3 linked regions of the Elephas maximus indicus genome follow. The protein of the gene in region 1 interacts with the protein of each later gene in a pairwise test. Links are inferred from orthologs where the notes say so. Each region holds a gene or a part of one and is shown in the gene's direction. Other genes may lie near its edges.

The links.
Region 2: the proteins of CIB3 (region 1) and SERTAD1 interact in binary tests that used the Homo sapiens proteins (3 or more experiments, as listed by UniProt). The two-hybrid records come from large-scale screens. The link is inferred for Elephas maximus indicus from reciprocal best matches to the Homo sapiens genes CIB3 and SERTAD1.
Region 3: the proteins of CIB3 (region 1) and ENOX2 interact in binary tests that used the Homo sapiens proteins (3 or more experiments, as listed by UniProt). The two-hybrid records come from large-scale screens. The link is inferred for Elephas maximus indicus from reciprocal best matches to the Homo sapiens genes CIB3 and ENOX2.

What each region holds. Positions count from the first base shown.
Region 1 is NC_064821.1:36,409,901-36,420,437, reverse strand, and holds the start of CIB3 (calcium and integrin-binding family member 3), read left to right. Parts: upstream 1-6,298; coding exon 6,299-6,349; intron 6,350-6,545; coding exon 6,546-6,580; intron 6,581-8,591; coding exon 8,592-8,703; intron 8,704-10,070; coding exon 10,071-10,218; intron 10,219-10,537. UniProt on the Homo sapiens protein: Acts a an auxiliary subunit of the sensory mechanoelectrical transduction (MET) channel in hair cells. Plays a role in regulating hair cell MET channel localization and function.
Region 2 is NC_064829.1:111,231,973-111,241,609, forward strand, and holds SERTAD1 (SERTA domain-containing protein 1), read left to right. Parts: upstream 1-5,063; 5' UTR 5,064-5,212; intron 5,213-6,804; coding exon 6,805-7,518; 3' UTR 7,519-7,872; downstream 7,873-9,637. UniProt on the Homo sapiens protein: Acts at E2F-responsive promoters as coregulator to integrate signals provided by PHD- and/or bromodomain-containing transcription factors. Stimulates E2F1/TFDP1 transcriptional activity.
Region 3 is NC_064846.1:25,303,374-25,313,231, forward strand, and holds the start of ENOX2 (ecto-NOX disulfide-thiol exchanger 2), read left to right. Parts: upstream 1-5,019; 5' UTR 5,020-6,263; intron 6,264-9,858. UniProt on the Homo sapiens protein: May be involved in cell growth. Probably acts as a terminal oxidase of plasma electron transport from cytosolic NAD(P)H via hydroquinones to acceptors at the cell surface.

The sequences.
Region 1 (10,537 bases):
CACTCAACTAAAGGATACGTTGCCTCCAAAATCCAAAGAGGCCCACTAGGGGTTGTGCCTCCTATTTAGTTGTGGGAGTAGCCAGATGTAATAATTCATCCTTCACTTTAGCAGGAAGGAATATCTCAACATATCCCACACCACTGGACTCCCAGAAATTTCACTGAGGTGGAAGGCACCTGAATTTTTGTCCGATTAATTTCCCACCCTTTCTCATGCAAATGGAAACCTGGGTGCAGTGGTTAAAAGCTACCGCTGCTAACCAAAAGATTGGCAGTTCGAATTCACCAGGCGCTCCTTGGAAACCCTGTCGGGCAGTTCTACTCTTCCCTATAGGGTCGCCATCGGTCGGAATTGACTCGATGGCAGTGGGTTTGGTTTGGTTTTTTTTTGGTCTCATACAAGTTTTACCAATAAGTCCAGAGTCATTGTCACTTCTTCTTTTCTAGGTCCAATCAGCATAATGTCATCAATGTAATGGACTAGCGTGATGTCTTATGGAAGGGAAAGGCAATCAAAGTCCCTGTGGACTAAATTATGACATAGGGCTGGAGAGTTGATATAGGCCTGAGGTAGGACACTGAAGGTATACTTCTAGGCTGGCTAACTGAAGGCAAACTGCTTCTGGTAGTCTTTTGAAACATGGAGAAAAAGACATCAGCCAGATCAACAGCTGCATACCAGGTGCCAGGAGATGTATTAATTTGCTGAAGCAATGAGACCGTGTCTGGAACAGCAGTTGCAATTGGAGTCACCACCTGGTTAAGTTTGGAATAAACCACTGTCATTCTCTAAGATCCATTTGCTTTTTACACAGGCAAAATAGGTGAGTCGAATGTGGATATGGTGAGAATCACCACCCCTGCATGCTTCAAGTCCTTGGTGGTGGCAGTAATCTCTGCAACCCCTCCGGGAACATGGTATTGCTTTTGGATTATTATTTTCCTAGGTAGGGGCAGTTCTATTGGCTTCCACTTAGCTTTTCCTACCATAATAGCCCTTACTCCACTTGTCAGAGATCCAGTGTGGGGGTTCAGCCAGTTACTGAGTATAGCTATTACAATTATGTATTCTGGGACTGGGGAAATCACTATGGGGTGGGCTCAGGGACCCACTGGACCTTTTATGAGATGGACATGAGCTAAGGCTCCATTAATATCCTGACCTCCATATGCTCCCACTCTGACTGGCAGGCCACAGTGAGGTTTCGGGTCTCCTGGAATTAGTGTTATCCAGTAATCCCCAAAAAGACTGATTTATTTCCTTTCCCCAGTGAAGAGTCACTCTCATAAAAGGCCATAGATCCCTTTGGGGAAGGCTGGGAGAAAGATTAACGGTATAAATTTTTTTGCAGTATTGTTGGGTCCTTCTTCAAGGGGTCCTGGCCTTCATTCAAGGAATTGTGGGTCTGTAAACTGGCTTTAGTCTGGGAATTGGTTGACGGGCTGTGACTCTCTATTCTGGTGATTTGCGTTATGCTGCTGTTCACTTGACCTAGAAATCTTCTGCTTGTACAGACCAAGTAAATATTTAGTGTACTTCCTATCTATCTCACTCCCAGGAACGCCATGACTAAGTAGCCAATGCCTGAAGTTCATACGAGTTAGACTATTCTGATTACTGCTTTGACTCCATTGTCCATCATGGTGATCATACCCTTGTCTTGGTTGATTGACTGTCACCACTTGGTCCCTACCACCAAGTGGTCTGATCAGCCCCATTGTAATTAACTGTCTTAATTCAGTTAGGGCAGTTCCCACTGTCAAATCTGACTTACATAAAATAGCAATCACAGCAGCCATCAAGGATGCTGTGGCACCCTTCACAAATTTGTTCCTCATTGTTGTGGTAAAAGGTGTGTCCTCTGGGCACTCCATGTGTGGGTTTGCTGCTCTAACCTGATAAATCTACTCTAACATGCCAATTTCCTTAAGTCTTTGCATATCCTCTTCTGTAGTACACTAAGGCGGGACTGATACTTCAACTTGATTTAGTGTAGGCCACCATGTAATCTAAGTTTCAGCCACTCAACCAAATAAACTATTAGATCCTTTTCTAACTTCTCAAGGTGAAGCATTGAATGGAGAATCTGTGCTTAGTGGGCCCATATTAGTAAACCCAGACTGATCCATTTTTATATTTTTGCACTATTATCCCACACCCTTAATAGCCATTCTCACACATATTCCCCAGGTTCCTGTTTGTACATATTAGAAATGTCAGACAGTTCTTTTGGAGTGTAGCATATCTCCTCCTGGGTCACATTTTGAACTTTATCTTTTGGGGCTCACTTGGACTTAAGTCTATAGGTCTAGAAGCCAAAATAGGTGGTGGGGATGTGTTTTGAGAACATTCAGCATTGTCTTGTAAGGCATTTGCCTCAGGTGATGCCCCAGGCAATGACTTAGCCAAGGGATGACTCAGATGACACCCCAGGTGGTATTTCAGACACAGCTGAAGACTCATCAGATGGTGATGGAGAGGCTAATGGCTTTGTTGTTGTTGTTAGGTGCTGTTGAGTTGGTTCCGACCTTACATACAACAGAACGAAACACTGCCTCGTTCTGCATCATCCTCACAATTTTTCTTATGCTTGAGCCCATCGTTGCAGCCACTGTGTCAATCCATCTTGTTGAAGGTTTTCCATCCTTTCTTAAGGATGGTGAGACTACGTCTCACATACTTTGGACATGTTATCAGGAGGGATCAGTCCCTGGAGAAGGACATCATGCTTGTTAAAGGAGAGGGTCAGTGAAAAAGAGAAAGATGGACTGACACAGTGGCTGCAACAATGGGCTCAAGCATAGCCAACAATTGTGAGGACAGCACAGGACCGGACAACACTGGATCCTGAATGGAATTCTAAGAGAAAAAGGACATGACTGGAAAAACTAGTGAAATATCTCAGACCACAAAAAGTCTGGGATTTAGTTGTCATTGTTGCTAATTGCCGTTCAGTTGATTCCAACTTATGGCAACCCCATACGTGCTCCATGGGGTTTTTAAGGCTGTGACATTTTGGAAGGAGATTGCCAGGCTCGTCTTCCAAGGCACCTCTGGGTGGGTTCGAACCAACAACCTTTTGGCTAGTTGAGCACTTAACAGTTTGTGCCACCCAGGGACTCCCAGGAATTTAGTTAACAGTATTGTAACACTGTTAACTTCTTAGTTATGACAAATGTGTGGCAGTCATGTGAGATGTTAACATTAGGGGAAGCTGGATGAAGGGTATACGAGAATTCTCTGAAACTTTTCTGTAAAAAAAAAATTAATCCAAAATCAAAAGTTTATTAGGAAAAAAAAAGAATCTGAAAAAGAACTAAGTGCCACTGGGGCTGGGGTTTCCAGCCACCTTTGCAATGACATCAAGCACTTGCGGGATGTAGTGAAGCACATGTGATTCCACACACCTCCACCCTCTACATCCTAGGGGATTTTTTTCCAAGCCATTGGCTTCCATTCTGTGAGTTTGGAAGCTGGTGCTTTTAATATGTGTGCACATGCAGGCAGGGACAGTGGGCCAACAGTACTTATGAGATGCATTTTGATTTTAGACATATTAATCTCAAGACCCAAAATATTTTCTGCTTTGAACTTTTTGTTGATATCATGTGTTTTCATTAATGGAAGCATGCTGAATCAATGAGTGTTGATGAAGTTTTGGTAGGTAGTATGGGGTTTTTTTTTTTCCACCCCCTCCAACAATCCTACCCTCTAAGTCCTGAGGGACATACATTGTCCCACTAATTCTACCCCAGATGCTCCCTAGAGTCCGGAAAGACATATGGTGTCTCAAAGAAAAATTTTCAAAATTTTTCTTTCTCCTATCAAAAATGCACACACCTCATACAACACCCTATAGAAACGATTATTTGCAGCACACACCCATTTTTTCAGTTTAAAACAGTCATAAAGGCCCCTGCCTTGTGGCAGCATGCACTGTCAGTGGGAAAGCAGGCTCCCAATGAACCCAAGAGGTGGAAAAAGTGGGTGGGCAACCGTATATTCCAACGGTCATGGAAGGGTTAAAATGTAAGGAAGTGTGTATCACAGAATGGATGAGAAGGTGTTCAATATTGCAAGGAGTGGCATTGTGGAAGAAAGGCCTGGTGATCTGCTTCCATAAAGATTACAGCCAAGAAAACCCTACGGAGCACAGTTCTACTCTGACACACATGGGGTCGCCATGAGTCTCAATCAACTCAACGGCAACGGGTTTTGTTTTTTTTGTTTATTGGTTAGAAGCAAGTCACTAGATCCTGCCTACTCTCAAGGAAAAGGGATGTTTTAGTTTCCTAGAGCTGCTGTAACACAAAGACCACAAGTGGATGGTGTTCTGTTTTTATTGTGTTTTAGGTGAAAGTTTACAGTACAAATTAGTTTTTCATTCAAAAATTGTATACAGAAATTGTTTTGTGACATTGGTTGTAATCCCGGCAATGTGTCAGCACTCTTCCCCTTTCCCTTTCCACCCTGAGTTCTCAGTGTCCATTCATCCAGTTTTCCTGTCCCTTCCTGCCTTCTCGTCTTTGCTTTTAGGCAAGTGTTGCCCATTTGGTCTCGTATACTTGATTGAACTGAGAAGCAGGTTCCTCACTTTTGTTTTTGTTTGTTTTATAGGCCTGTCTAATCTTTGGTTGAAAGGTGGACTTTGGGAGCAGCTTCAGTTTTGAGTTAGCAGGGTGTCTGGGAGCCAGAGTCTCAGGGGGGCCCTCCAGTCACTATCAGACCAGTAAATCTGGTCTTTTTTGGTGAATCTGAATTTTGTTCTAAATTTTTCTCCAGCTGTGCCTGGAACCCTCTACTGTGATCCCTGTCAGGGCAGTTGGTGTTGGCGGCCAGGTACCATCTAGTTCTTCTGGGCTCAGGCTGGTGGAGGCTGTGGTTCTTCTGGTCCATTAGTCCTTTGGACTAATATTTTCCTTATGTCTTTGGTTTTCTTCATTCTCTTTTGCTCTGAACGTGATGAGACCAAGAGATGCATCTTAGGTGGCCACTTGCAAGCTTTTAAGAACCCAGATGCTACTCACCAAAGTAGGATGGAGAGCATTTTGTTTATGAACTATGTTATGCCAGTTGACCTAGATGCTCCCTGAGACACAAGTGGGTGATTTTAAAGAACAGAAATTTGTTTTCTTACAGTTCAGCAGTCTATAAGTCCGAATTCAGGGTACTGGCTCTAGGGAAGAGTCTCTCTCTGTGGGCTTTGGGGAAAGGTCCTTGTCTCTTTTCAGCTTTGTTCCTCAGTTCCTTGGTGATCTCCACGTGGCATCTATGTTTTCTCCACTTGTGCTTGCTTCTCCCTGTGTCTAATCTGCTCTTTTTATATCTCAGAAGTCTTTACATTTAAGGCCCACCCTACACTGATACGACTTCATTAACATAAGAGAAATCTCTATTCCCACATGGGATTATATCCACAGGTATAGGGGTTAGAATTCCACTACATATTTTTGGGGAGACGTAACTCAATACATAACAAGTGAAACCCAAAAAACCAAACCCGTTACCACTGAGTTGATTCTGACTTATAGTGACCCTGTAGGACAGAGTAGAACTGCCCCATAATGTTCCCAAGGAGCAGCTGGTGGATTTGAACTGCCAACTTTTGGTTAGCAGTCAAATGCTTAACCACTGCACCACCACCAGGGCCCTCCATAACCAAAAATACAAAAACTAAACCTGTTGCCGTCGAGTCGATTCTGACTCATAGCGACCCTATAGGACAGAGTAGAACTGCCCCATAGAGTTTCCAAGGAGCGCCTGGTGGATTTGAACTGCTAACCTTTTGGTTAGCAGTCGTAGCACTTAACCAGTACACCACCAGGTTTCCGGGCCCCCCAAAACAGGTAGGTACTAATAAATTTCCATTTTACCTACAAGGCTCAGAGAGGTCAAGCAACTTGCCCAAAGCCACACAGCTAGTGAGCAGAGAACTGGACTTTGATCCAGGATGCACCCACAGCCTCTCTGCCACCCTGCTTGTCCCTCAAAGATGTCCCAAATCCTCAGCCTCACCTAGTGGTGATGGACATGGTCCCCCACTGAGGGCTGCTCTGTGACCTCCCACAGCCCTTCTTGCCCCGGTGGCTGGGGACAAACTCAGGTGGTTGCCCGGAGAGCTTGCTGTAACTTGAGTCTCACCCAGGCTGGGGGTGACGGGCAGGTGGGCAGGTGACAGGCAGGGCAGGGTTATTTGCCCAGACACTGGTGTGCAGCAGCCTGGCAGCCCGTCCGGCCCTGAGAAGACCCAGAAAATTTGGGGACTCATTCCAGGGGCCTGGAAGTGGTGCTCGCCATGGGCAACAAGCAGACGGTCTTCAGTCGTGAGCAGCTGGAAGCCTACCAGGTAGGGAGTGGGCTGGGCCCGTGGTGGGCTTGGCAGCCTCAGTTCTCTGGCCTGAGACATGGGGACAGCATCCTCGCGTCCTGGGTTCATGGTGCGGCTCTGGGTGCAGCATCCGACACCGAGGGGTGAGAGCTGGCAGAAGAGAAAGTGAGTCCCAGAAGTAGGGTCTGGGCTGAGCCAGCATCTCTCTCCACAGGACTGCACCTTCTTCACGAGGAAGGAGATCATGAGGTCAGTCTGGTGAGGAAGGAGGGAAGACATAGAAACGCCTTTCTGTTCATTCTGGAGGAGATTTGGAATTTGACAGGCTCATTGTCAAGGTTAAAGTGCTAATGGTGGGGAGGGGGTGGCACAGGCACGGTCAGGGGATGGAGGCGGAGAAGGGGAGGCCGAGAAGTTGCATCTTGTCATATTAGCACTTATGACCTGGAAACAACTTACTACTCACTTCTGGAGGATATTTGTAATTTGACTGGCTTGATGCTTTGCGTCAAGGTTAAAGTGCTGATGTGGGGTGGCTGGTGGAGGCATGGTCAGTGGAGGAGGCAGAGGGGGGAGGCTGAGAAGTCCCATCTCATCATGTTACAGTGGCTTCCAGGCTGGTGGGCTTGGGCTTCTCCCAAGGGTGCCGGGGAGCCACAGCAGGAGAAGACATGGTCGGTTAGTGTGTAAGAAAGACTCCTCGGAGGCCAGTGTGTGGAGGCTGAGACTGGAGGCTGGGAGCTCCAGCAGGAGGCCAGAGCCAGGTCTGGGCTATGGGTTGGCATCAAGGTGCAAGAGCAGGGAGGTGGCCCAAGCCTGAGGCAGGGCTCTGGCATGAGCCCAGGGTGTACAGGCATGTCACCACTCAGCCTGGGGGGCCATTGTCTGGAGGCCCTGACCATGAACTTGGAGCTGTGAAACCCAAGCTGGCCAGGGTTTGGCTGCAGCATGATCGGGGCCAAGGCCCCAATTGTGTGGGCACGGACATCCATTATTGATGGCAGCACCTTTCGCCAGCAAGTCCCATTGTCTGGGTGAGGACAGCTCGCAGGTCACCCTGGCCATCATGATCAGATTACTGATGGGGAAACTGAGGCTTAGCTAGGGCTGACTCTGAGTCCCAGGGCAGAGGGGCAGAGGGCCAACAGTTCATTTGCCCCAAGCATCTCTTTTTTTGGACAGACTAACCAAGGCCCAGAAGGGGAGAGAGTCCTGCTCAAGGCCACACAGCAACCCCAACCCAGCCTGTCCCCTGAAGGGACACAGGCAGGGGTCTAGGTGGTTAGGACTGAAGTTTCAGACCTCCCCCACAGTGAGTTCCTAATCATTATATGACCCAGGGGGCTCTGTGCCCTCTAAGAGACAGTTGCTAGAGCCTTGGGGACCCCAGACTCAACAAGGATGGCCTTTGGAAGGCTGTTGCTCAGTATGCCCCAATGAAGGTATGGCATCACCAGCTGAGGGCACTGAGTGGAGAGCTGGTCTTACAACTGAGGCAGTGTATGTGGCCTCCACTGGTGTTTTCCAAAATGCCTTTCTTGTGCCCTTTTGAGAAAGGTCACATGAGCCCTTTTTCTCTGCTCTGCTCTGCTATGCTCTGTTGGGGGAACCCAGCCTGCTGTTACAGAAGAAGGAAAGGGAGGTATGTAGATGGGGGTCTTCAGAAGCAGGGTCTTGCAGACACTGTGACATGTCCAGAGATTCATAGATGAACTCGGATTCTCTGAATGCTTGGTGTGAAATCAGGATTTAAACACCCTCCCTTCTGCCAATCCCATCTGCCTGGTAAACTCCTATTCTCACTTCAAAGCCCAGCACCAATGCCCTGACCTCCAGGAAGCCCTTCCTACTCCCTGGAATGTTTCTCACACTCCAGGCTCCCCTAGGCCTGGGAACCTAGCCATCAGGGGCTTTTGTGTCCCCTAACAGACAGTTGCTAGAAGCTTGGGGGCCCCAGGCTCATGAAGGATGATTTCTACAAGGCTGCTGCCCAGCATGCCCAATGACAGTATGGCATCACCAGGTGAGGGCACTGAGTGGCGAGCTGGCCTCAGAATCTAGGTAGTGCTAGGCAGGTGGAGTTGTGTGTGTCTGGCTCCGACTGCTCAAGGGCTGGGTCCAGGGCTGATGGCCCTTGGGGGGGCAGGGGGCAGAGCATTCTTCAAGGTGGGGTGTGTAGCTTCAATAATGAGAGAGGAGGGTGGAGTTCTATGTCCCTTCCTACCTCCCAGCCCTTCCTGCTGTTTCCCTCCAACACTAGGCTCTTCTATCGCTACCAGGACCTGGCTCCCCAGCTCGTCCCTCTCGACTATACCAGCTACCCTGATGTGAAGGTGCCCTATGAGCTCATTGGCAGCATGCCTGAGCTGAAGGTACGCCCAGGCCAGAGGGCAAGCAGGGAAAAAAAAATAGTAGGATGTACCGTAACACATTCCTGTGAGGTGGGTGCTACAATGACCTCCTTTTTACAAACGTGGACACTGAGGCTCAGAGAGGGCAAGACATTTGTTCAAAGTCCCACAGCATAGAGTGGCAGAGACAGGATTCAAACTCAGGATTGTTGGGAGAATGGAATGAGATAACACAGGTAAAGGGCATGTTGTGTGGCAAGTGGTCAGGGAATGTTAGTTCTTTTCAGAGTTGCTGTTGTTGTCAGTTGCCATTGACTCAGCCCCCAACTCATGGCGACCCAAGCACAACAGAATGAAACGTTACCTGATCCTGTGCCATCTTCACGACTGTTCGTATGCTTGAATCCATTGTTGTGGTCAAGTGCCTTCCAACCTAGTGGGCTCCTCTTCTAGCAATATATTAGACAATATTCTGCTGTGATTCATAGAGTTTTTGTTGGCTAAGTTTCAGAAGTAGATTGCCAGGTCTTTCTTCCTAGTCTGTCTTAGTTTGGAAGTGCTGCTGAAACATGTCCACCATGAGTGACCCTTCTGGTATTAGAAATACCAGTGGCATAACTTCCAGCATCATAGCAACACACAAGCCACCACAGTACAACAAAGTGACTGACAGATGGTGGTCTTTTCATAGTAAAGAGCTGTTAAAGGCAGGTCCTTCTCAGGTGGATGTTTCACCCATGATTTGTGCCTCTGAACGGGGGTTGTATGGTTAGTAACTGACTGAGTTGAGATTATTTGATTACAAGTGACAGAAACCTCATTCAAGAGAGACAGAACAGATCAGTTTATGTAAACAAAAATAATCCAGGGCAGGGCTACTTTCAGGTACTGCTGGAACCACGATCTTGATGTGCCCGGAAATCTCCTCCCACTTCTTGGCTGCTTTCCTGCCAGGAGACTTTAGTTTCAATCAGCCTCTCCTCTTGAGATAGTGAGGGGAGCCCCCTGCCCCGTGACCCATGCTATCCTCTGCCAGCTCCGCAACCATCAGAAAGCAGCCATCCATCTCTATTTTCCTGAGAATGTCCCAGGGCAGGCTTTCATTGGCCAGTCTGGGTCACATGCCTACCCCAGAGCCAATCATGGTGGCCGGGTAAAGGGAATGCTCTGATTGGCCTTCCCTGGGTCCTGTACTACCCCTGGAACCAGAAGTGGGTCAACACTGCCCAGACCACACAGGTAGAGGGTGAAGTTGCCTGAAGTCCTCTCCAGGGACCGTGGGAGGGAGTGAACATTGGTGGGGGAACACGTGGAAGTTCCCGGGAAGGTGGATGCTTAGAGTGAGACCACGTGGCCCCCTGGAGACCCTGGTTCCCTCTTATCCCCAGGACAACCCTTTCCGCCAGAGGATTGCCCAGGTCTTCTCTGAGGATGGCGACGGACACATGACTTTTGACAACTTCCTGGACATGTTCTCTGTGATGAGCGAGATGGCTCCCCGTGACCTCAAAGCCTACTACGCTTTTAAGATTTACGGTGTGTGCACAGCCCCCAGGGCAGGGAGCGTGGGGAGGGATGGGATGAAGCTGGGTCTGCAGGCAGGGCTGTTCTGCCATCACAAGTGTCTCCCCTGCCCGCTGCCCCCACCCTGGTACCTCCAGACCTCACCCCTTACTCCCTCCATTCCAGCCACACTGGCCTCCAAAGTATGCCTGCCTCCAGGCCTTTGCCTCTACTGGGGTTCTTCCTGGAACACCTTTGTCCTGGCCCCTTCCTGTCCTTGAAGGCTCAATGGTCCCTCCTCAGAGGGTCTTCCCCAGTGTCTCCTGTCAAAAGTAGCCCCCATGCCAGTCAT
Region 2 (9,637 bases), on another chromosome or scaffold:
GCTTAGAATGGCCTAGAAGACCTACCTGCTAACTCCACTGGCCTCTCCTGCAGCTCAAGTCCGGCTACAGTGGCCTTCTTGCCCTGCAAACAGCACGTGGCCACCTCAGGCATTTGCACCGCTCGCCTCTCGGCCTGGAACTTGCTTCTTCCAGAGCTTCGCACTGCTTTCATTTCATCAGGGCTTTGCTCAGCGGTCACCTCAGCAGAGAATCCCACCACCACCAATACCCGTCTAAGCCTGAACACCCTTTCGTTTCTCTTCTCTGCTTTTTCTTTCCCCTTTCATTATCACCTTCATAAGAGTACCTCCTCCCATCAGGGATTTTTCTTTATATCTTCAGTGCCTCGAGGCAGTACCTGATAGACCGTAACCCTTGCCGTCGAGTGGATTCCGACTCTTAGCGACCCTATAGGGCAGAGTAGAACTGCCCCATAGGCTGCAATCTTTTTAAGGAAGCCGACTGCCACGTGTTTCTCCCTTGGAGCAGCTGGTGGTCAGGACTCCCTGACACACAGTAGGCACTCAATATATGAATATTGGTGAATAAATGAATGCATTTGTGTCTTAGTCATCTAGTGTACCCATAACAGAAATACCACAAGTGGATGGCTTCAACAAACAAGTTTATTCTCTCAGTTAGTAGGCTAGAAGTCCAAATTCAGGGCGTCAGCTTCAGGGGCAGGCTTTCTCTCTCTGTCGGGTTCTGGAGGAAAGGTCCTCATCATCAATTTTTCCCTGCCGAGGACCTTCTCAGCACAGGGATCCGGGGTCCAAAGGACACACTCTTGTTTCTCCTGGCTGTTGCTTCTTGGTGGTATGAAGTCCCCATGTCTCTCTGATCACTTCTCTCTTTTAGATCTCAAAAGAGATGGGCATAAAACACAGCCTAATTTTGTAGATGGAGTGCTGCCTCATTAACATAACTGCCTCTAATCCTGCCTCATTAACATCATAGAGGTAGGATTTACAACACATTGGAAAATCACAGCAGGTGACAAAATGGTGGACAATCACCCAATCCTGGCCATCATGGCCTAGCCAAATTGATACAAATATTTTTGGGGGACAGGAATCAATCCACAACATTTTGTTACAGTGTTCATTTTCTCTTTCTATCCTCTACCTCCACCAGTGAGAGTAGAGACTGTGGACACTTATTCAGTGCTGTACCTCCATGGTCTACAACAGTGCCAGCACATACTAACAAAACCTGTGGTTTCTGACTTATACTCTAGGACAGAGTAGAACTGCTCCATAGGGTTTCCAAGGTTGTAATCTTTATGGAAGCAGACTGCTACATTTTTCTCCCTCAGAGTGGCAGGCAGGTTGGAACCTCTGACCTTTCGGTTCACAGCTGAGCACTGTGCCATCAGGGCTCTTTAACACATAGTAAAAAAAAGAACACCCAAACCCACTGCCATTGAGCCGATTCCGACTTATAGTGATCCTATAGGACAGAGTAGTACTGCCCCATAAAGTTTCTGAGGAATGCCTGGCAGATTTGAACTGCCAGCGTCTTGGTTAGCAGCTGTAGTACTTAAGCACTATGCCACCAGGGTTTCTAACACATAGTAGGGCTCAATAAATACATGTTAATCAAATGATTCCTATGAATTCTTCTTCAGTGTATGACCTGGAGCAAAAAAAAAGCCACCTGGAAAGTCTGACCCTCCTTTTTCCCAGGCCATAAGAATGAGCTGTGGGTGAAATTACGTGAGTTTGCCTAGCAGAGGCCTGCCTGATTCTAAATAGCATTTTATGCTTCTTTTTATTATTATTTATGAAAAATTTTAAATTTATGAAAATCATCTATATAAAACCAAGTGGTCAACAGTTATTCTAAAGCAAAGATGAAAGGGTAAGGGGACAGAGAAACCAAGTTACTGGATATAAGACATCCAGAATGGAATTAATGACAATGTTGACACATTGTGAGAAATGTAACCAATGTCACTGAACAATTGGCATAATAATTGTTAAATGGGAACCTAATTTGCTGTGTAAACTTTCACCAAAAACAATAAAATATTACTTAAAAAAAAATTCAAGGGCATAGAAAATTATGAGGGAAAAAACACACTGAACACCTGAATACCCTCCTTCCTAGGCTTAATAATTGTTAACAGTTTGCTGTTTGCTTTATGTACATATGGATATATGTATAGTTTTTCTTTGGCTGGACCATTGGAGAGTAAGTTCAGAGATCCTGGTGATATTCTACCCCTTTTTTTTAATAGCTCAGCAGGCAAGGCACCTCTTAAGAATATTTACCTACTCCCCACAATACTACCTCACACCTAAGAAAATTAGCAATTCCATAGTATCACCTATATCCAGCTCGTATTCAAATTTATCCAATTATCCTAATAATATCTTTTATAGCTGCTTTCTTTTTTCTTTCAAATGAAAGTTGGCATGCTAATTTGATTGTAATAAAGAAATTACATAGTCCCCTGAAACTATTGCCCTGAGATAATCTTTAAACCTTGAACCAAAAATATCCCCTAAAGTCTTCTTAAAACCAAACAATAGTTTAGCTGAAGTAGTAAAAAATGCCTGCCTTGAGCACTATAAGAGCTATCTATAAGGGATCAAATTGACAACAGCAACTGGAAAGATTAGACAGGAACCTTAGGGGGAGTGAGTTTATGGTGATGGGGGAGGAACAACCCAGAAAAGGAGGGTGAAAATGGTTGCACAACTTGAAGAGAGTAATCAATGTCACTGAATTGTGCATGTAGAAACTGTTGAATTGGTGTATGTTCTGTGGTGTATATTCTCAACAACATATATAAAATTAAAAAAGAAATTACACAGTACCTTTTATTCTAGAACAATCCCCCCTTCCCTTTTTGGGTCTTCTTAACATGGAATTGCAGGTGGAACAGCCCAGTTGTTCTATAGAATGTCCCACAGTCTAGATCCATCTGATTGTGTTTGTGTTTATTTTGTTCCTCTCTGTTCTCTATAAGCTGGATGTTGGGTCTAGAGGCTGGATGAGATTCGACTTATGCAGTGTAGCAGGAAGACTCCACAGGGGATGTGTGTGCTTCCTGGTGCACGGTATCAGGTGGTACCCAGTGTCAGTGTGTCCCACTATTAGGGAGGCAGATTTCTCCACCATAAAGGATATTTTCCCTTTTGCAGTTAGCAAGTAACCCGTGGGGTGATGCTTTGGATCCCATTCTCTGCCGGTATTTCCTCTAAAGGTTTGAGCATCTATTGATAATCCCTGCCTGAATCCATTACCATAGTTAGCATTTTTGAGCACTTACTTTGGCCCATTAAAAAAAAAAAAAAAAAAAAAACTGTTGCTGTCAATTCTGACTCACAGCAACCCTGTAGACAGAGTAGAACAACCCCATAGGGTTTCCAAGGGCAGGCTGGTGGATTCGAACTGCTGCCCTTTATGGTTATCAGCAAAACTCCTAACCACTGTGCCACCAGGGCTCCTTACGTTGGCTGGGAGCTTTATTTACAGTAACTAATGTAATCCTGGTGGTGTAGTGGTTAAATGCTTTGGCTGCTAACCAAGAGGTCAGCAGTTTGAATCCACTAGGCACTCCTTGGAAACTCTGTGGGGGCAGTTCTACTCTGTCCTGTAGGGTCGCTATGAGTGGGAATCGACTCGACAGCAGGGGGCTTTTGTTAACCTAATCCTTCCCAAAAAAAAAAAAAAAAAATCCTTCCCATAGCCCCTAAAATGTTAGCAAATGAGCTACCTGAAGAAGGTAAATTCCATTGTCAGTTCAACTCCTGTCTACCTTTAACCCCCCTCAACGTGTCCCCTCACTTTGAAGAAACGGTCTGTGCTATTCCCACAACCCCTGGTGGCCTAGTGGTTAAGTGCTACGGATTCTAACCAAAGAATCACCAGTTCGAATCCTCCAGGCGCTCCTCAGAAACTCTATGGGGCAGTTCTACTCTGCCCTATATGGTCGCTATGAGTCGGAATCGACTCGACGGCACTGGGTTTGGATTTTTCGGTTTTATTCCCACAACTGCTATTAAAAAGCCCTGCCATCCAGTGGTTTCCGACTCTTAGTGACCGCACAGGACGGAGTAGAACTGCCCCTACAGGGTTTCCAAGGCTGTAATCTTTACAGGAGCCGACTGCCACATTTTTCTCCGCGGGAGCGGCTGGTGGTTTGGAACCGCCGACCTTTTGGTTAGCAGCGGAACGCTTAACCACCGCGCCACCAGGGCTCATTTACAACTGCTTTAAAAGGACATGTTGCATGCCACTTTGAGCATTTTGCACAAATCGTTTAATTCTCAAAACAATCTCCAGAGCCAGACGCTGTTATTTCTCCGGTTTTAAAGATGAGGAAGCTGAGACTCTGGGGATTAAAACATTTGCCTAAGGTCACACAGCTACTTAGGGATTGCAGTCCAGGACTTCAGTGCAGGGCTTCAAACCAGTTGTTCCGGTTGGAACTTCTGCCGAGAATTCGCATTTTCACCCCAAATATACTGAATCAAAAAATCAAAATCTATATTTTAATAAATTCCCCAGGTGATTCTTATGTATAATAAATTTTGAGAACCACTGCTCTACCAGTGGTTCTCAGCATTGGTCACTAACCAGCAGCATTAGCATCGCCTGGGAACTTATTAGAAACGCGAGTTCTCAGCACAACTCTCAAGAGGTAGCCATGACGAGCCCCATTTAAAAAACTGTGTGTGGCTCAGAGAGGTCAAGCATTTTTCCAATGTCATGCATGAGTGAGTGGTAAGCCAGAATTTGCACCCAGGCCTAGCGTGCACACCCCTGTTGCAGCTGGGTGGGTAAGAACTCAAGGGCTGGGTTTAGCAGGCGCATGGGTAGGTGTGAGGGGCTTGCACTTCGATACGCAAAAGCCCCTCCCCGTCACAATCCCTCAGGGCAAATAGCCACGCCTCTTTCTCTCCCGCAGCCGCCGGAACATGCGCTCTGAAGCTAACCTCCCCTCCCTTCCAACCTGCCCCTTACAGGCTCCGCCCACCACCGCATAGGGCCAATCCGTGAGGTAGAGGGTGGGGCCGCCACGGAAGTAGGCGGGAGCTAAGAGGAGTCAGGAGTCTGGAGTTGTGAGCCGGAGTCAGAACCCCGTCTCCGGACCTAGGCGCCGGTTGCTGGAGCGGAGCAAGCGAGCGATGCTGCGGCCGCCGCTTCCTGATTGGCTGCGGGCGGCTAACTCTTCGTTCTGATTGGCAGCTGGTGAACTGGGTATGTAAATGAAGGGAAGAGACCGGGGGAGAGAAGGAGAACCGGCTGCGGGGTCTGTAGGAGGGTTCGATCCCGAGTCCGGCAGGTGCGCGCCGGGGCTGCCCGAGATCTAGATTCACGGGCCTCTACGTGTCGCCCGCCTGGCCTGGCCGGGTGAATCACGCCGCAGCCCGAAAAGGGGGCGGAGGCGCCGGCTCCCTGGCTCCGGCTGCGTGACTCACCCGCCCCCGCCGCCGCCGCTTCGGGAGGAGCCGCCTCCTCTGCCTTCCGGAAGCGAGTAAGAGGCCCGGAGGGCAGAACTGCCCGCCGGAACGGCTCTGGGGGCCAGGCAGGAACGAGAGCCCGGACACGGGGCGGTGTAAAGGGTCCTGGGTTCGGAGGGGCCGAAATCTCCGAGGGAATGCGGGCCTGGGCGCCGCTAGGGGGCGCCGGGGCCCCGGAGGCGGAGCCGGGGGTGGGGGCTAAATTCCTGCGGTTCCGGACTCCAGGGTCTGTGGGACAGAGGGAGAGGACCCAGTCTTGGATAGGATGGGGGTCGCTCTTAAGGTCCTGCTCGGCAAAGGCCCCAGGGATGGATCCTGCAAACTGCCTGAGTCAAAAAAGCAGTCGGGCCAGGGGTCCATAAATCCAGGGATCCACCTGGGGAGGATCTGGGTCCTGAAACTTCTCTGTCACACCCGCCCCCCACGCGCTTCCACTCCCCAGTCAGGATTTCCCGGCAAGTCTTCCCCGCTCTGCATCTCAAATATATCCTGAATCGGTCAACTTCCTTCCGTGTCCACAGCCACCTTCGTTTGCCCCAAAGAGTTACAGCCGCCTGCCTGTGGCTTTTCGGGACACACACACTATTCCTTGCAGTTCCTGTGAGGATCTTCTGAAAACACCATTTCCCTCCCTGCGCACACCCTTCGCTGACTTCCCAACACACAAGGAAAGCCAAACTCCTTACCTTGTCTTATATGGCCGTCAGTGACCTGGCCCCTCCTACTGCCCCCACCTCATCGCCTGCCATCCCACTCCGTGTGCACCAGCCACACCAGTCTTTTTCAGTCCAAGCTTATCCAGCCTCCGGGCCTTTCTTTGCCCATGCTGTTGTTCTGTCTTCCATGGTTCTTCCATGGCTGACCCCTTCTTGTCTCAATTGTCACTTCCTCGAGGACCCTTCCCTGACCACCCCCTACCATGAATCTTTAAGTGTCTTCCTAGCACTATTGGTAATTTTCCTGTATTTGACACAAAGTAGGCATTCAGTAAACACCAGATTTAACTGTGTGAAACAACCACTTCTGTAAGTTAAAAAAAAGTTGGATAATGACCATTTTATATAGTTCAATGAAGAACTAAATAATAGTTATTTCTAAGAGTACTTGTTAATAAAAGTAATTACTGTGTACCAGTCACTGTTGTAAGCCTTTTTGTATCTCATTTAACCCTTAAAACTATGAGGTGAATACCATATGTGAAAAGTTCCCTAAGGTTAAGTGACTTAAGAGAGGTTAAGTGACTTGCCCAAAGCCACACAGTCAGCAATTGTCAGAGCCAGGATTTGAACGTTTGCTTTCTATAACTGAAAGACTCCTTCCTCCCCATAGATGATGCTGAGCAAGGGCTTGAAGCGCAAGCGGGAGGAGGAGGAGGAGAAGGAAACCCTGGCAGTCGATGCCTGGTGGCTGGATCCTGGTCACCCAGACGTAGCACAGGCACCCCCCACCGTGGCCTCCAGCTCCCTCTTTGACCTCTCGGTGCTCAAACTCCACCACAGCCTGCGGCAGAGTGAGCCGGACCTGCGGCACCTGGTGCTAGTTGTGAACACACTGCGACGCATCCAGGCATCCATGGCACCTGCGGCTGCCCTGCCACCTGTGCCCAGCCCACCTGTAGCCCCTGGAGTGGCTGACAGCCTGCTGGCCAGCTCAGACGCTGCCCTCTCAGCCTCTATGGCCAGCCTTCTGGAGGACCTCAGCCACATTGAGGGCCTGAGCCAAGCCCCCCAGCCCCTGGCCGATGAGGGGCCACTAGGCCGCCCCACTGGGGGAGCCCCGCCCAGCCTGGGTGCCTTGGATCTGCTGGGCCCAGCCACTGGCTGTCTGCTGGATGATGGACTCGAGGGCCTATTTGAGGACATCGACACCTCCATGTACGACAGCGAACTCTGGGCACCAGCCTCTGAGGGCTTCAAACCTGGCCCTGTAGAGGGTGCAGGCAAGGAGGCGACTCCAGAGCTGGACGAGGCTGAGCTGGACTACCTCATGGACGTGCTGGTGGGCAAACAGGCACTGGAGCGGCCGCCAGGGCCGGGGCGCTGACCCCCAGGGCTGGGAGGGTTATATTGTGGCTGAACTGAGCCTGGTGGCTGGACCAGCTCTCCTTGGACAGACACAGCTGGCTTCTCTGGTACAGACAGAGGGGCACGGGCCAGTTTGGAGAGACAAAATCCAGTCCTGGACAACTTCACATCCGTCCTCCCCTTTCAGGCAGGAGGGGGAGTCCAGGTTTGGCCCTAGTGATGGGATAACAGGGCCTGGTGGTTGGAATGTGGGTGGACCAGGCCCAGTGCTGGACTGAATCCCCTGGGGTCATCGCCTGGGATACTTCTTCCCTGATGTGGGAAGAGACCCCAATTAGTTTTTGAAATTAAAACCAGCCCTGGGAAATCTCAAGCCTGTGTTTTCTTTGTGTCTGGGCTAGTGTACGACAACATTTACTGAGTATGTACTGTGTGCCTGGCACAGTTCTAAGCACTTGTCACGTGTTAACGCATTTAATCCTTATAACAAACCCATAAGATGGGCATTATTAATACCCCCATTTTACATACGAGAAAACTGAGGCTCCAGGAGGTTGTCACTTGAGGAGGTGGACTTCAAACTATAAGTTCTACTGCTTTATTGGTCCAGAAAGCAAACCATCTAGATCTGGTCACTGACCCCCTAGACCAGCTCCCCAGAACACACTCAGCCAGGTTTCTCTGATGTGCCTGTGTGTATGTGTGTGTACTGGGTGGGTGGGTGGGGCTCCCCAGGCCACTTTTTAAAATGAAATCTAGTCCCCACCTGGAGCCTGTGTGCCTTTGGAGGGCTAAAGAGGGTTTTCGAGATGGCCCAGAAATAAAAGCACGAGGCTGGATGGAGCCTCTCCAAGGAGCACGAACAGACAGCTCTCCAGGAAAATGCTGAAAGAAAGGGAGACTCCAGCCAGTTCTGAAAAAATGAAATCCACTCCCCCGTCTCACATCTCTCTTCCGGCAGGGGGTAGGATACCTGGGAGGCAAACTCCGAAATAAAGCCACCAGGCTAAGTGGCTGGACTGAGCGGCCCCCCAGGGGCAGGCCGTCGCGCTTTCCTTCTGGAAGAAACCCAGGCCCAAGGGAGCTAGGGCCACCTGCCTGCCTGTGGGACGGTGTCGTGCTGGCCGGAGCGCCGGGTGTCTGCGGCCGCCCCCGCGGTCCAGCCGCATTCCTGGCCCGGCTGGGCGGGGCCGCACACTCAGAGGCCTGGCACGGGCCCCGGGCCGCGTCCTTCCTGGCGGCTGTGGGGGCAGGGCAGCGCCCGGGCGGAGGGGGCACAGGGACAGCTGGACGGGGGCAGGGAGTGAGTGCTAGAGGGCTGGACGGTGGCCTGAGCGCCCGGCTGACCCTTCAATAGGGGGAACGGCAGCAGGGCCGATAGAGGGAAATCAAAACTGTCGGCCCCAGTAGCTCCCCTCTGGCCGGAAGCTTTAGGGAGGCTGAGGCTGGGGTGGAGCTGGGGCGACGGAGAGCTTCGGGCCGGCCCCTCGGGCGGGAAGGGGCGGGCAGAGTGGAGCTTCCTGGAGGAGCAGAGGAAGTTATGCCCATTTCTGGAAGTGGATGAGGCGGGCCGGGGAGGGAAGTGGAAATAGTCCGCAGGGAGCTGGTGCCCAGGCTGAGGGTCTGCGAGGCGCCTGACTCGAACCCTGGACAATGGAATTGATGATCACTTTGGCCCCGGACCCAGACCTTGGAAGCCTAGGCTGAGCTCAGCAACGCCCCCTGGCGCCCAGTCTGGGCACCTTCGGCTCTCTGGAGATCTGTCCGTTGGTCAGGGGTCATCGATGCCCTCTGTTTACAACATCTTAGGGGCGTATTTCTGATGGTTGCTGGTACCAGATTGGACGGTCCGTGACATCTGATGCAGACAGCCTGCCCATCTGTCAAGGATACTCCAGTCTTCCTCTGTGCCTGCCTGGTGCGTGAAGCCCTCTCCCCAGAGCTTTTGTGTACAGTTGCACAGGTTGCACACTGCACATGGGCTCCATATTTAAGGGGCTACCACGCATGTCGCAGGCACTGTACATTTTTGTATTTATTACAACAGCTTTCTAGCAGATGGAGGTCAAGTACCTTGAGGAAGAGGCATCTCTTTTGCACAAAAGCACCATATGGACTACATTGTCTCTGGCTCCTTC
Region 3 (9,858 bases), on another chromosome or scaffold:
ATTTAACATAGATTTGTATATATATGTGTGTGTGTGTGTGTGTGGCATTTTTAGTAATGACAGTGAAGTTCAAGGGGAAATTGGGAAACGTTTTCTTTCTTCTCACAAGGAGTGGGCTGGGAACTTGTTTGAGGGCACAGATGGCATGGGAGAGGGCCAAGGGGAACTGATATCTGATATTTCTGCTATAGCCCCCACCTTTATTTTGGCTGCTTCAGATTTGGCCCATGTGAACAGGCACATGGGTGCGCACCATACAGATGGACATCGGAACATATGGGATTTGGCTGAACCAAAGGTCCCCAAACATTGCCTGGATCTTTTAGTACCCCAGGTGTAGCCACCCCAGGACTTCATGTGCTAAAATTGTGTCCCAGTTGGAGCCAGCTGATCACAGTATATGTAGTATCAAGGCAGCTTAGAGCCTCATAAAGCATGACTTTGGATTTTTTACCTTGTGGATTTAGATTTAGCTAATCAACCCGAATCCTTCCTGACACACTGGGCAGTAAGGATGTACTAGGTTAATAGAAAGATTTAACAAAAGGAGATGCTCATTGTCCAATAAACTTGCATTCTCAACTAGATGAGACATAATACTAGACCACACAAAGAAAAATAGGCTGACTTTCCAGAAAGTAAAGAAGGAATTAGAGGGATTCAGTCTCTTTAATAAGCTTTTGATATATACTAGATTTTAAATTTTTTCTTTTCACAAGTTCAGCCCCTATGGAATTTTAGGAGCAAATAGTGATTCCTTCTGATTTTAAAATTTGAGGAACTGGAGAATGTTTCATAAAATAATATTGGCCCTTTCTTTTAATTTTCCATATGTGGTTGAGATGCCTGACATCAGTCATTCAAGCAAAATTTGTTTGAGGGAATAATAATAATGTTGTTAGGTGCCATCAAGTCAGTTCCAACTCATAGCGACCCTACGCACAACAGAATGAAACACTGCCCAGTCCTGCGCCATCCTCACAATCATTGCTATGTACGAGCCCATTGTTTCAGCCACTGTGTCAGTCCATCTCGTTGAGGGTCTTCCTCTTTTTCGCTGATCCTCTACTTTACCAACAATACTAGTAATCCCATACAATCCTATATATAGCCCTTTACAGTTTGCTAAAAAGGGTCTTTATATCCATTTGCTCATTGGCTCTTTATAGCAATCTTGTGGAACAGTCAGGGTAGGTACTGTTAGCTCCAATTTATAAATAAGGGAACTTAGGCTCTGAGGACTTAAGTGACTCACCCAGGGTCACACAGAAAGTTGTGGAACTGGAAGCTAAACCAAGGTTTCCTGATACCCAGCCACAGTATTCTTTCAATTGCATCGTTTCCTGCCTAAAAGACTATCTCCTTTTTGCTCCTACTCATGATTAATTTTGAAATAGTTCTACAAAAATATGTGCTTCAGTTTAGCAGATGAGTGCCTTCTCTAAGGTCACCTGTCAAGTGAGTCCTGCACACACCTCTTAGCTTTTCACCTTGACTTTAACGGAACTATTTTTAGGCAGACATAGATTTTTCTCAGTGTTAAACACATGCACAAAAGTTGTGTGATCCACTGATTATAGGTGTGAAAGCTACACCTGGGGAATGGGACTAGGGATGAAAAGTTGGCTTAAAATAATTAGCTTCTTGCCTTTTTGTTAAGAGATGTCATGTTCAATAGAATTTAATTTCTTTATACTTCCTTTGCTTCCAACCTTTTAAATACAATTCTTTAGGGAAAGTTAGCAAATACTCATTCTGAATGTTGATTTTGCAGGAACAAGCGTGGCTGGGAGGAAAGAGAAAGTGGAGGGGTGACTTCGTATGCCCTGTCAGAGTGGGCAAGCATTATTTTGTTTGGGGCTGCGAGCTAAGATTTCTTCTAAGGCATGCAAATCGTAAAGTTCTGATTTGTCAACAGCACGCTGTTTCTTTAGGCACTGATGTATGAAATCCCTTACGAATTCTCAGATGAACATACTGCTAATTGCTTCTCCACCTGCTCTCCAACCTCCTCCACCCCACCCCCTCCACTCCCAATTCAGCCTATAAGTGTCCGTCATTGGAGATGGATGGTGACACATGCAGTAATAGCAATTCATAAAAGCCAGTTCCAGCCCTTGTCTTCAAGGCTCCTGGATTTTCCACTGCCTGCTTTTGTGTAAGTGAAGTGGATGGAAGTGCTACTGGCATCAGAATCCACCTTCCTATGCTCCGTTGTTAGAGCTCAGTTACTCGGCTGGAGCTGAGCTAAACAGAAGCATCGGATCTGAGCTGAATTGTAGCTGGCTTTTTTTTCCCCCCTGAATGGGGGTGTGGGTTATGGGTAGTATGTAGTGAGGGTTTGGGGTGCTCTGGATTTTTTTTTGTGGGGAGAAGAGAGTAAAGGGAGCATAACTTGCAATAGGTTACAACGTGAAACAGTTCCCTGAAGAGTGTCACAATGTTCCTGGTACAATATACAGGTATAGTATGTCTTCTTTTATCCAAAATTTCTTTTTCGTTTCAAAGTGCATTTCTCACTCTTATTTTTCCTCCAGTTCAACTGTACTGAAGGACAAATAGGGTTCTAATGAGCTAAACAAAATAGCTGCACAAACCGTGCCTGCCCCTAGCTATAATGTTTGTAGCAGATTGTTGTATAAAATCTGGGTTTTCTGGTAAATTGGTAGTCCTGCTCCCTTAATTGTGCATGCTTCTCTGCTGTATTCTTGTATTGAATTTCTAAAGTCTTATGTCTGCAACTGGTAGTATGTGATATAGCTTAAAAGTGCTTGCACAGAAGACACACAGCGCTATGGAAGCAAAGAGCATTTTTAAAACAGTGTATTATGTCGCTCTTGAGTTTCTTAACTCCTGTCTTTGTTAATTGGTTATCTGGATTTGGGATATAGTTTAGAGTAAGGAAACTTCAAATAGAAAGCACTCCAGAACTCGTCTGTTGGACAAATTTATTTTTATTTCATTATTGAACTCAGGTTGGTGAACGTTATCTATTATTGTTGTTTATTTACTGTGCTGGTAGAAAAAGTGCTGGAAACAGCAAGGCTAAACATGCCAGCTCCAAACCATCTGTATCGTAAAATACCGTTGGACCAGAAGTATCCCTTAAGCATTCTGTTAAGCTTTCAGAAATATATTGGTCCATAAGAATGAAGAACTTGAAGACTCAGATCAGGTGTTGGTGAATGTTTTTTGAAAGCCTTCTTAAACAGCAGTTACAAAGACAGAAAGGACCCTTACAAATGAAAAATCCTGAGAAAGTTTCACTTTCTTGCTCAATAGAACAGTAGCTTAGTTCCTACAACCACATGTTTTGATAAGTTTAAATATCATGTATTGTGAAGGACTTTCATCTTCAGTCTCACTTTATTGGCCTTAAAATATTGTGCTCCTGTCCTTAGGAGCTACAAGATCATATTCTGTTTTGATGGGTAATTTGACAGTTGATTTCGCTCTTCATTAATTGGACAGCATACAGATGATGTGGAGAAGTGAGTGAGTGACAAATTTCAAGGTTATGCTGAAGAGCATACAGTGAACCTTAGTGTCTGGACCAACAGCTGCTGAATTGAATTGTCTGCAATTAAAGCAACAGCAGGTTTGTGTAGTCTCCCTGCAGCCCATTTATTTGAATTTATAGCTTCAGTTTCTTCTTTGGGTATCGGTTGGCTTGTTTTGCTAAGTGTTGGAGAGTTGTGCTTGCTGGATGTTTTCTCCATACTCCAATGCATACTTGACTCCAGAAGAGCCAACTCTGTACATTTTAATGTGAGAGGTTGTTGAGGTTTTTCTCTTCTGGTTAACACTAGAGAATGTCTCTTTTTCTCCATTACAACAGTAAATAGATATATTCTCATGGAAAATATTATCTGTTCAATAATTAGAGGCTTCTCATGGATCTGTGTTACTGGTTTATGTTCCTGGCATTGAAAAATGTTGGACTTTGTTATGTTACTAGAATTACTACATCTGGAAAGAACTTCTCTATGCCAACATATAAGTGTTTATGTTTTAAAAACTAGTGGCATTATCTCCTTGCCATCTCTCAGTTCTAGGTTAATCTAATGAATATCAAACCCAACTAGGTGGCTTTTATGACTGAATTTTATTTGTATGCTAATAGTGAATACATGTTTAACTCCTTCATGATTTTACTCTATTAGAAGACAATTTTTACTTACAGTGTAGTTGTTGATTATTGACTCATAGTGGACGTGGTATAAAACATTTACATAGTGATTTAACATACGCTTTCTCAGTTCTTCCTCATCACAACCTCATGTGAGGTCAGGGGCTTTATGATCTCCGTTTCATAGGTAAGAAAACTGAGACTCAGAGGTTAAGTAACTGGCTCAAGGTCTCACATCTAGTAAGTGGCAGTACCCAAACTGGTAGGTTTCTTGACTCAAGAATCTACACCAGGTTGCCTCTGAATTGATGGGTCCAGGGTAAATTTGACTTAAGTTACTAGTGAAGAAGACTAAGTTCACTCAATTACTTAAAAAGAAAATATTCTTTGATAGGACTCAGGATTTTTTCAAAACCATTTTAACCCAACATATATTTTAATATGTGACTGCTCTTCAAATTAGTTTTACAGATATATAGAAAGCACTGGTATTTGGAATTGGTATAATGAGCTGAGTTGAGCCTTGTGAAGTTATTGGAAAGGAAAATAATGTCTAATCCAAAAGGTTAATATGTAATGTTTTCCATCTAAAATAAGATATTTTTAATATCTGCTCAATAGATTTATAAGATTATTTTCATAAAATATGTGTATTTTAAAAATACTGGCCATGATATAAAGTGTTATATGTTTTTAAATTAGAATATTTTATCAAAATCAATGGAAAAAATATATAGTGTTGAATTAAGCAGCCAGCTCAGTTGCACATTTTTCTTTCTATCTGTATATAAAAAAGGACACTAGCGTTCCCATCTTTTAAAATTCTCAAGTGGTTTCTCAATTTTAAATTCATTAGTTTTAAAGGAAAAAAAAATACATTCTGTCCCACTGAAGAAGGGGACAGAATGTATTTTACTGTTTAAACCTACATTATTACTTCTGGTAAAATTTTCTTTAAAACCTCTTCAGGGAACATATTCATGAATGGGGTCATTTTTAGATCTGAATTATTAGACTAGTGGTTACAAGCTAAGGCTGCTAACCAAAAATGTCAACAGTTCAAATTCACCAGCCAGCCACTCCTTGGAAACCCTATGGGACAGTTCTACTCTATCCTCTGGGGTCACTGTGAGTCGGAATTGACTCGACAGCAACGAGTTTGGTTTTTTATTTTGGTTTATCCCATGTACTGGACTCGATGGCACTGGTTTTTTTTTTTTTACTGGGGAAATGACTAGATGTTGACACCGTAGCAACTCTTCTTTAGCATTTGATGGTGAATATTTGAGAATGTTGTCAAGAAAAAGAGTTGGAGCTAAGGCAAGCTTTGTGTGACCTGTTTATGGGACTTTTAGGATGATGGTGATGGATATATTGTCTCAGATACCGTGTAATTAGAATTTATCCTTATTTGGGATGCTATCTTTATACTTGAACAGATTTTAAAGTAAAGCTATCCTTATATTCTTCTAGCAAAAAAGGAAAGGAGGATGATAGAAGGTGTCTTCACTGTTTTTTGAACTTCAATAGAATTTGACATGAAAAAATTACAGGAGGGGACTTGGGGAATTGGATCAGGGCTAAAGGGAGGAAAACTGGGCAAACAAGGCATATGATTAAAAAGCTCCATATTAAACTTGGTTTCAGGTAGCAAATTTCCTATGTAGTTGGAAGCTCTGGCCAACACCCTTCACTCCATTCCATTTTCTGGGAATAAGCACTCTGAATACAACTGAAAAAGAGCTTATTGGGGCTTTTTAAGAAATTGGCATTTTTTGATTTGTTAAAGAAAATTCTTTCGTCTGCAAAATAATTCATTTTTTGCCGTCTGGTGTTTCAGGCCAAGAGAAATTAGAGAGGGAGATGATTTCCAGGTTCTGATTGTTCAGGGAGCTAAAGTTGGGTTGTCTTAATGATTTTTCCTTTCAGTATGCCTTTGAATGTGTTTTAAGGGAGTGAAGGGCTGGTTTTATGGATGGGGATGTAAGGGTCATTATACTCTAGCCAGTAGCATGCTGGAGCTGGCTTGCACTTGATTACTTAAGGGGATCACCGAGAATATTTACAAATTTAAAAACTTATTCCTGTCTGCCTTTTTCCAGGAAGAACTTGAGATATTCATTATGAATAAGAGGTAAGGCATGTTGTCTCTGCATCTGTATATTGCAGATGCCCATTGGGCTTCTAAATTATATTGATTGACATCCCTTACATATAGCACTGATGCCTTGAAGGGTTATTGAGCATAGCACAGTTAAGTGTGTGTGCCCCTCCCCCTCACATACACGCAATAATAAAAATAAAAAAAATAGCTGACATTTATTGAATGCTTACTGTGTGTCCAGCCCTGTTATAAATACCTTATATGTATGAACTCATCAACCTTCACAGCACTCCTGTGAGGTAGGTAGTAGTATTATTTCCATTTTAGGGTTAAAAAAACTGAGACACAGAGTTTAAGTAACCTGCCTACCAGGTTACACAATTAGTAAGTTGCAGAATCTGGATTTGATCACAGGAAGTCTGTTTCCAGAGCCCACACTCTAAACTATTATGTAATATGCTCTATATCTTTAAGGGCACTGCAACGAGGAAGCTATTTACCTATTCATGTGCTATCCAGAGCAGATATCCCATTGTCCGTGCCTTTAGAAGGCATAGATAGTGTAGAGCTGCCTGCTCAACAGACTGCTGAAAATTTTTACTTTCCTTCTGACACTCATCACTGGTAGTCTTCTCTATCGCCAGTCAAGGTGGATCATCGCATCCTCAGCGGCTTCTAAACACTACCACTACTCATGTTCTTTCTTCAGATTTTTAGCTTTTTTCTTAGGTGCTTCTCTCTCAATTTTTAGCTTTTTGCAAGAAGTATTGCCAACCAAGGTGTAATTTTTCTTCCATGCAACCAAATGGGCAAGCATAGCACATCTTCCCAGCATCTCCTCTTTTCCCACTGCAGTCCATTTTCTGCCTAACTGTTAGAATGTTCTTCCTAAATGCAGATCTTATCATATCATTCCTCTCCTCAAAAGCCTAAAGGATTTTGGGACTTTTCTAAATAGGTATCAGGGCCATCCATAGTCTTATCTCAACCATCCAGAATGCCTTTACACGCTTCTCTCCAACTACACTGCCCTCTCTCTACCCTACTCACTGGGCATGCTGTTCTCTCCATTTTAATTGCCATTCTTCTATATCTCTAGCAACCCTAGAGCTACCCAGCTTTTAAGATTCAACCCAGATGGTACTTGCTGTTGTATTACGGTGGAGCTCTGATGGCGCAGTGGTTAAGCGCTCGGGCTGGTAAACAAAAGGTCAGCAGTTTGGAATCCACCAGCCACTCCTTGGAAACCTTTTGGGCAGTTCTACTCTGTCCTGTAGAGTCACCGTGATTCAGAATCAACTCAACTGCAGTGGGTTTGGTTTTTGGTTTATTGTATTACAATAACTTATTTTTTGTCTGTCTTCCCCCACTAGACTGTGAGTTCCTTGAAGTCATAAAGTATATTTTACTCGACTCTGCACATAGCCTAGTGCCTTGTTCATAGTTAGCACTCATATGCAATATTTAGGTCTTTAGCAGCTGCATCACGTTAGCTCATGATTCAGAGTTATTCCCAGAGTCTAAGGGTTCCAGAGTCAAATGTCCAGATAGCTTCTACTCTGCATAGATATTCTACAATATTCTGTTTAAAAGATTAGTTCTGTTTTTAGCGCAACTACCTCCTTGAATTTTTTTTCATCTGTACTCATTCTTCAGATCTACTATACTTTGAAAGCTCCTTTTGCCTTTGTGAAACATTTTGTACTTTTGGAGAGAGACAAGGGTTTGCCTATACACATATTAATACAAGAAAATCAGGTCTCTTATCTCTGATCATCTCATGAGCCGCAGAATTAGAATAGGTGAACTGGTAATTGCATTTTTAATACATAATCACTGTGTTTCTCAAAATGTGGTTTAGAAACTTCCAGAATTACCTAGGATATTCATTGTGAGCATTCTAGGAGTTCTCTCTAAGTGATCTGCATTTAACAAACTTTTCAAATGATTCTTACCTATAACTGCCTTTTTTTTTTTAACCTACAACTGACTTTTGGGAACAACTGTCCAAAGTAAGAAAAAATGCTAAATTCTGATCTGTATTTTATCCTGTGTGCATATGAATATTAATTACATTGTGGAAAAACTATTAGTAGAATGCTTTGAAGTTTTTGTAGCCCATACTGTGCATTAGAATTTTTTATCATGATGAGATTTTCTATAACTTTGCCTTTTCTAACACATGTGGCTGTTGGATACAATGTTAGGAAGTGCAGCTCTAGAAAACTTGACCATCCAGAAAGAATAATTCTCTTAAGAGTCTAGATGGCCACAAAAACAAACCAAACCCATTGCCATTGAGTCAATTCTGACTCATAGCGACCCTATAGGACAGAGTAGAACTGCCCCGCAGAGTTTCCAAGGAGCACCTGGTGAATTCAAACTGCTGACCTTTTGGTTAGCAGCTGTAGCACTTAACCACTACGCCACCAGGGTTTCCAGATGGCCACAGTGATCATTAAATCAATGAGAAATCAAACAAGAACATTATTTCCTTTGACATACAGGCCATTGTATTTCTTTTTTGGGGGTAGTTGATTTTTAAAAATGGCCTAATGTGGCTTATCCTCAGAAATGATTTAACAAATTATGATCTCAATTAAATTTAAATGAGACCTGTATTTTGCATTTCTCATCAGTACTGTTTTTCTCATCATACTGGTTTGCTATCCAGAGCTGGCTATTAAGCCTTGATTTCCAAGCTAGGGATAAGAAAGTTGAGTTAATCAAAAGAAAGAGCTCCTAGCTCCAATGTTTAGGTCATAGATACTTTTATACATTTTAGCTCTCATAGCCCTTTTAACTATTCTCATTTGGATTGGTCAGCCCCTAAGCCACTAATGACTCACTACTTTTCAGCTTCCATTTCTTCCTCTGATAAATCTTCCTTGAACCAGTAATGTACCCTTTTCAGGGTGATTTCAGTAAAGATCATTAATTCTTTGGGAGCCCTGGTAGTGCAGTGGTTAAGAGCTTGGCTGCTAACCAGTTCGAAGCCACCAGGTGCCCGTTGGAAACCCTATGGAGCAGTTCTACTCTGTCCTATAGGGTCGCTATGAGTTGGAATCAAGTTGATAGCAGCGGGTTTTTTTTTTTTTTCCTTTGGGAGAATTTGAATCAAAAAAGCGTAGTCTCTACAAAGAGACATAAATCTAGACGCTCTGTTTTATTATGTTCATTGTGTGTCTTAGTTGTACTTGGTGGCTTAAAAAAATCCACTATTGGAATCTGTGGTATTTAAAAATTACTTAGGTAAAATAATGTACTTGGCCATTACTATCTGTGGAAATTGTATGCTAAATAATTATGCCTGTTTGGCTTGTCCTCTGTTACCTAGATCCCAGTTTTTTCTGCTCTTTTCAATAGCTACATTTTTTTTTTTAGCACATCCTGAAATTCCCTCTGTCCCTTCACATAGAACACTTACTTTCTTTGGCTTTGTTTTCTGTTTTCAATGGACAGCAGACCACACCCCCACTTTTTGTGCCATTCAAACTCCCTCCCAGGATCAATTGTTGTATCCAGCCTCACTAAACTGCCTAAAATAAAAGAAAGGTACAAAAATGGGTGTTTTAAAGTGCCACTCAGGGCCACCCTGGAGTACTCTGCAAATAGGCTCTTTTGT